Linked DNA regions of Coturnix japonica. The protein of the gene in region 2 purifies or fractionates together with the protein of the main gene of each other region. This does not show direct contact. Links are inferred from orthologs where the notes say so. Each region holds a gene or a part of one and is shown on either strand. Other genes may lie near its edges. The genes, in order: ACAD11 and GTSE1.

Region 1 (3,821 bases), on a different chromosome or scaffold from region 2:
CACTTCCTTACTGTTTGTTTCCACACAGATGGGCTAACTTCTCCAATAGCACACACCATTTCTTATGGTCAGTGCCTGGTTCTTTTACTGCTAGTAGTGCTCAATAATATTAACCATCCCATACCTTCAGCCTCTCAAGCACTGGTGGCTTCTTCCATCTCTCCTCAGTATTTCCATGTTTAGCATAGTATTCTGCTATTTCCTAAGAGAAATGACAATAAACACAACTGCTGACCAATGTCAACAGTACTACATGAGAGGAATGAACTCAAAATCAAAACCACAAATAAAAGCTCAAAGTGCTGACACCTAAGCATTAGGTTTCCCATATATTCAGATATAAAAACTCATCTTTTTTTCTTTTTTAAAATAAATTGGAAATAGCATGCTTGTTTTCTGTCAGCTGTTTAGCAGATTATCAAAACAGTCATTCCACGTACCAATGTTTAGTTACTAAATAAAACTACGTATTAGAAATCCTAGTACTTTCCCCAGTATGTTCTAGTAATGTACAGCACTCTTTCAGAAGTGCCCTAGGACCTGCTTTAGGATGAATAAATTATCATCTAACAAATGCAGAATTTACAAGTCCCAACTCACGTTTCCTGTTACCGTATGAGATCAAATATTGTCTGTGAGCTCTCTAAATAAAAGGAGCACAGCACCTCCATGTCTGCACAATGCATTAGCACATCTGCATGAGAATGAAAGACTTTGGGGACTTTTACCTTCTCAGCTGGATATACATGCTGCTTCATGAACTGCTTTACCTTCAGCAGCATTTCTTGGCCTTTCCTACTTTGATAGAACAGCTCTCCAGATGTATTGTGTTGCATGTTGCTGAAAGACAATCTAAAGAACATCCAATGCAATAAGTAAGACCAGGTTTTCTCTCACAATGATATAAGCTGCCTTATAGAGACATTTAAATAAGTGAAGCTGTAAGTCTTGCCTCGCCTCTGATCAGTACTTTAAACCGGTGTTACCTTTTTGAGAGCTCTAAGCCTTTTTCTGCCAAAGGCTTCACCATCTTAGCAAATTCATGGCTATTCTCTGCAGAAGCATTTCCAATGAGATATCGAGCATATACACCCTACAACCAAAAAGAAAGGCATAGATGGTATAACTGTGTACTTAAAAATGTCTCTTTCAGATTGGTGGTTTCTTCAACTATGAACTTACACTTAAAAGTAAGTTAAGATGTTCTTAACTGGGGGGAAGAAATAGAACTCAGATGGATTTTACTGGGATATGTTGATGCTGCTTTGGGTATATTTCTGATATAAATGACAGGAGTAAGAGAGAGTTGGACAAGAACAAAAAACCAAACCAACAGAAGACAAAAGAGCCATTAAAAACCCTGAAGTGTACCTGTATTGGATACTACATGCAAGTCCACTCTGTCCCTTCAGCCAATGCATTATTACTCACAACTACATTACCTACATGCATATACAGTCTTACTCGAAATTACTAACAGCTGGTTTACACCTTTAGTAGCCTTATCCTTAGGCTGCAGCTACAAAATACATTCCTGCCCTACAATGGCTGAATATCTCATGTTACATACTTCAAGCAGCAAGAATTCTGTCCTAGAGTACACAGTCTCAAGCATCTAAAAGACACTGCTTCTAAAGGGACAAACTGAAATACCTTTCCCATTATCACACAACAGTACTTCATCATTAGAAAAATATTACCAACCTACATATACTCATAATAAAAATGTGATATTTCAGAAGTAGTGAGTATTACCTGGGATATCCCTGCCAGTTTAAAATATGACAAAGCAAGAAAAAAATTCAGGTTGGGGATTGTAGTGCTGATACCCCGGCAGCGGCAGTAAACAGAAATCAGTTCTTCAAATGAGGGATTTTCTACAAAAAACAACAACAAAAAACACCAACAGAATATTTTAGAATGCTCAGCCTCCACCAGGATTTACCTCATTCTTCAAATACTTGAGTCATTTTGTTAGTACAGCAAAAAATGTAATATATCATTCCTCATGTGCTCAGATATGGAAAGGAAACAGGTGTTGCAAGAATTCCACATAAACTCCCCCCAGTTCCACTTCAGTCAGGAAATCCATTGCACCACAATTTTATCTTGTGTTTATGTGAACATCACCCATTCCTATTTAAATTTGAGCTTACCCCCATTATCTCTAAGAAACGTTCCAAATAACCTTTTGTAGAATTAATGTACTAATGTACACAGATGCTACCTTAAAACTATCAGCCCATCTCCCAACACATCTCCTACAATGAAGAAAACTACAGAAAAGCTCTTTTCCAATAGCAAAATGATGTACGTGTTAATTTTACTGTTGTTTGTAAAAGTAATCTACCAAATAGAAATCAACCATAGAATTCAGTTTGACTAAACGATGATAACTTCATACCTATGGGGCCTTTGAAATTGAAGACAGATCCTTGACCAAAGACGTTCAGGGATGTAGGCCAGAAGTAGAACTGAGTAGCGTATGCTAAATCTGCTAAAGGATGACCAGTGGTTGAAAGTTCCCAGTCCAGCACTGCCAAAACACGAGCCTTAAATAAGAATAAAAAACTCAAGTGAATTCTAAGAATGAAGGATCTGCACACGGACAACAGACTTAATATCCAGGAGCTTAATTAATTGCTTTGAAGTTAAAAAAACATGCACTGTAGCTGTCTACAGCAAAAGTAGTTTCATTTTAAAGTAAGCAGAAAAGTAAGCAGAAGTATATTACTGCAACTATTTTGCTGATAAGGAAAATACAGGTGCTTTTGCTCCTGATCATAACCAAACATCAAAAAACAGACCCTATACTGAAAGTACAGTGACACAGAGGAACCACAATTCCTTGGGAATGCTCTGTAACACGTACAAGGAAATAACAAACTCAAAGAACGGCTTGAGATGGAAGGGATCTCAAGGATCACGAAGCTCCAACCCCCTGCCGTATACAGGGCTACCAACCTCCATATCTAATACTAGACCAGGCTGCCCAGGGCACCATCCAGCCTGCTCTTAAACACTTCCAGGGACGGGGCACCCACCACATCTCTGGGCAGCCTGTTCCAGGACCTCACCACTCTCTCTATAAAGAGCTTCCCCCTGATATCCAACCTAAATCTTCCCTCCCTCAACTTAATACATTTTCTCCTTGTCCTGCCATTATCTACCCCTGTAAAGAGGCAATAATGGAGAACTACAAAGTACAAAATGTACAGATGCATTTGAAATACCTCTGTTGGGTGAAAAATGATGTTATCTATTCTAAAGTCCCCATGAATTAGGGCTTCTTCATCATCATCAAGTGGCACGTTGTTTGCTAACCACTCGGCTAGCTCGTTCATGGCAGGAATATCTGTATGAGCAGCTGCATCATACTGTCTTTTCCAAGTTGACACCTGAAAAAATACAAGCACTTTAACAGCGCTATAGAATCTACTTGGAACATGGCAGTAACTTTATACCGTGCACTCATACTTAACTAAATGAAGGTGCTGAATTGTTAAAATACGACGGTTACTTTTACAAGTCATCTAAGATGAATAAATCAGCTTGCAAATGAAATCATTAAAGACCTGACGAAACAAGATAATTTTTCCAAGAGCTATACCTGTCTTCTGCAGTATCCTGGTCCTCTGCCATATCCTTGGAGACCCAATGACCGCAAGTCAAACGAGTGCATCTGAGCCAAAGTTTCTATCATTGCGAGATACAAAGCAGAACGCTCTGCTGGGCCCACTTCAGGCAGCGAGGCGTCTCGAAAGATGCGACCCTAGAAACATGGGAAATCAGATACTTAGTAGGATATAGGCATAGACAAA
Region 2 (3,821 bases):
ATCCTTGTGATCTTTAATGTTTTCTTAGTTGCAGGTATGTGAGTGGCAAGTCTAGGTAAGAAACAAATACCATAGGAAGAAGGCTGCCATAACACGCATGAACATAGATTAAGTTGTTTTGGAGTTATAGGCACCTACTTAGCTCTGCAAAACTCTGCTGCAGTACTACTTTATGCTTGTTTTCAGTGTACTGCTGTAGTTTCCTTGAGAATGGTGCAGGTGGTATAGGAAGAAGGCATGAGGTACGCAGCAGGAGACTGAGAGGCCAGTGGTACCTGGTGTTTGGTTTGGCATGTTTGCACTCATGGGGATTGGTTGTCATCTAGCTTGTCTTTCTGAAGGTGGCAGTAGCATACTAACAACTAAACAGGATAACAGTTTTACCTGAAGCTAACTGTCCAACCTCACACATCTGCATAACCCTACAGTCCTGAAAAGTGTTGTGGTATCTATTTAATTCATAGAATTATAGAATGGCCTGGGTTGAAAAGGACCACAATGAGGGGTTTCAAACCCCTCCCCTTTCCCCCCAACTATATGCAGGGCCACCAACTACCAGACCAGGCTACACAGAGCCACATCCAGCCTGGCCTTGAATGCCTTCAGGGGTGAGGCATCCACAGCCTCCTTGGGCAGCCTGTTCCAGAGTGTCAGCACCCTCTGTGTGGAAAAACTTCCTCCTAATATCCAGCCCAAACCTCCCCTGTCTCAGGTTAAGGCCATTCCCCCTTGTTCTATCACTGCCCACCCTTGAAAAGTTTCTGATGTAAGATATATCTTTCTCAGAGTCTTGTATAATCCTAATGTGAAAATAAGATAAAGGAGATTGTTTTAAGTTTATACTCAGGTTTGTGACAGGAATAAAAGTAACAGCCTACTTCAGAGAACTCCTATTTCAGTTCTGTACGATACCCAGATATAGTTAACCATTTCCAAGGGATACTGTTTTCTAAACTGTAACTCAAGGAAAAGGAATTTCTCAAACAGTCATACATGACTGTAATGCCAAGCAGAAACATAGCAGAGTAACATACTAAATACCACTTTTGTCCATGTTCTGTGCCTCAGCCTGGTTTAAAAAAAACACATCTGAAACTTCCTGGTGTTGCCAGTGGTCTCGCAAGGAAAAGCACTTCATCATCTTCATCATCAGTTTCCAGTGCGAGCTCAAGTCTGAACTCAAGTCTACCCATTTCTCCCATAGCAAAAAATGGTAAGTGCTCTTAATAAAGGTTTGTCCTATAAATCAGTTTTAAAGTAGATACGCAATTCTTGTCCCACGGATCTGAATGCTTTAGTGAAAAAAAAAAAAGCATCCTAAAAACACTTAGCAGATATAAATACCACAGGTCTGTTAGATAAAACAAGATTCCAAGCTATGGCAAATTCTTATTGTATACTTTGTTTCTGGGCAGATTAATAAGGTTTCTATCAGAAGTTAAGGCTTAGTAAGAATTTTTATATAATAGGAAGTATAAGCTGTCAAGATTTGTCCTATTATTGAAAGTAATAGACAGACTACAAGTAAAAACCATACTTGCAACCGAGAAAAGCTCTTATGGTGCAGTTCAGCCTGTGGTGTTAATTGGTGTAACTTAAATATTTTCCACTCAGTGCTCGTTTAAGGGAACCATCCCAACTCTGGTGGGCGAACATGCTGAAAATGTAACTTAGATTGCAAGCTGTTTTAGCATTCCTTGAAGAATATTCTTGTACTTAATTGCATTAATTTATAGTTCAGATAGTTGGTGAGGAGGATTTCTAAAGCTGACATCATTGCTTGAGTGTTTAGGGAGTAGGTTTTCATCTCAGACTTAAGTTGTTTCCTAATTAATTTAAATGCTGTAAAATGATGTTCCGTGCAAGGTTAATTATTTTGATTAATCATACTTAGCAGTAAACAGTGATTCAGAAATGAAACATAGCTTTCTGTTTCAGGGAAATCGAATGCAACTTCAAAAGCTGGTGTGAGTGGCTCTAAACCTTCATCTACTACAAACAGACTATCTCTGGCCAGACCAACCAGAGTGTCATCTATGCAGGCTGTCAGTACTGAAAGATCCAGCAAGCAAACGAGATCAGCTAGTACTCCCAAAATACCTAGTGCACAAAACTTGGCTAAATCTTCAGCTTCTGCACTAACGGTGCCATCTGAGCCTGAAGGCAGTGGAATTCAGAGGCTGAGGTCTCTCCCCAGTCTGCAGAAGCCAAGTCACCAAAATAAAGATGGAAGTACAACTAAAGGAAACCTGTGCCCAAAGCCCAAGGCTAGACTTCCGTCAGTTCCTACAGGTCAAACTCAAGTTCCAGTGAAAGCTGGAGGTAAGTATATGCTTTATGTAGCCTGTCTTCTGCTGATTTAACTTACAAAATCAAATGTTTCTTGAGTGCTTGCTGTCTTTCAATATGCTTCTATCTACCACCTGATAGAAACAAGTGTTCTAATTGAAAGGTATCTGTAGTTCTGAAAACTAAATATGAGTGTGGATAACTATTAACAAGGCATTTCTCTTTAGATATAACACCGAACAAGTCATCAACAAAAGCAACACCATCTCTTGGATTAACATTTTGTGGCAAAGTTGGAAGGTAGGACCAAATGGAATGTACTTCTTGGAATGTAACATGGGTACTTGTAGCAACAGTCTCCAAAAGCTCTAACTTTAAAGGCAAGCTTCTCTAGTCCCTTAAGAACCTCCAGGTCAGGCTGTGTTAATAACTTCTGAACTGATTTGGGGTGGGGGTGGGAGCTACATCCAGAACACTTCAGAAGGAGCCCCCTTTGTAGGGCTTAACTAGAGTTATTCTTAACATTTATTTTTGAAGTAAAACCCTATAGCTATTGACTTCTTGATGATCGCCTTTCAGTTACTGACCAAAGGTTAACTGATTCCTATTATCTCATAAAACTGAATAAACTTTCTAAGAACTTTTGGCTTGTTTTTGTACCTCTCCTCAGTGCCATGGCAGTCAGCACACCCCTGAAAGCTTCAGAAGACGGGATATTTCAGATTCCTCATGAGAGGCCTGTCTCCATGACTCCTTCCAGCTTGAAACGCTCTGCCTTACCTACACCTGTCCGTCGTATCTCAGGATTTCCAGCAGCAACTCCTAAAACCACACCAAGAACAGCATTTTCTCCACGCATTGAATCTGTTCGCCAAAGTTCCAGCTTTTCTACCAGGAAGACTCTCCCAGCTGGGTAAGGAGGAACACCCACCCCTGCTCTCCAGTGAAATGGAGAAATGAAATCAATGTAGTAGCTAAAATGCTTCTAAATGAAATAGAATGGCTTCCAATTTTCAAGGATCTTTTCCAAACCTTTAGAGTAGAACATCTGAACGTTTAGATACAGTATAGGCCTGATGTAGGTGTATATATCTTGCAATTAGTAAAATACAGTCAGCCTTAAGATCAGTCAATATTAACATTAAAGAGCTCTAATCTCCTAGGAAGCTACCTGAATTAGTTGAGCTACTGAGCAACTTAAACCACCTCAAAAAGTTTTATCTTTCATTTGAAACAATGTCTTGTACAAAGGGAGAGAATTCTACGCTACTCCTACCTACCCATCTAATTTCTGCAAGGATAATGTTGCTGCCTTCATGCCACAGTCCTGCGTCTTCTCACATGTGCATATACAGGATTCATTCAGGGCTGGTGAGATGAAAACTTAAAGTATGAATTACGCATTGCTAGTGAATATCTTCTGTTATGTTACTTAGCCTAAATGCCCCACATAGTCTTTTCTCTGAGTGAAACCAACCCACTGTCTCTAAAATTACGTTATGATGTGGATTAGATTATAATTCCTTATTAAA

The links.
Region 1: the proteins of GTSE1 (region 2) and ACAD11 purify together in Homo sapiens (co-immunoprecipitation; 3 studies listed by BioGRID and IntAct, counting the BioPlex papers as one, with this or other methods). This does not show direct contact. The link is inferred for Coturnix japonica from reciprocal best matches to the Homo sapiens genes GTSE1 and ACAD11.

Annotation. Positions count from the first base shown.
Region 1 is NC_029517.1:38,933,310-38,937,130, forward strand, and holds part of ACAD11 (acyl-CoA dehydrogenase family member 11), read right to left. Parts: intron 3,773-3,821; coding exon 3,611-3,772; intron 3,399-3,610; coding exon 3,234-3,398; intron 2,553-3,233; coding exon 2,405-2,552; intron 1,878-2,404; coding exon 1,756-1,877; intron 1,094-1,755; coding exon 987-1,093; intron 853-986; coding exon 729-852; intron 203-728; coding exon 125-202; intron 1-124. UniProt on the Homo sapiens protein: Acyl-CoA dehydrogenase, that exhibits maximal activity towards saturated C22-CoA.
Region 2 is NC_029516.1:14,058,882-14,062,702, forward strand, and holds part of GTSE1 (G2 and S phase-expressed protein 1), read left to right. Parts: intron 1-1,068; coding exon 1,069-1,213; intron 1,214-1,938; coding exon 1,939-2,322; intron 2,323-2,516; coding exon 2,517-2,589; intron 2,590-2,959; coding exon 2,960-3,202; intron 3,203-3,821. UniProt on the Homo sapiens protein: May be involved in p53-induced cell cycle arrest in G2/M phase by interfering with microtubule rearrangements that are required to enter mitosis. Overexpression delays G2/M phase progression.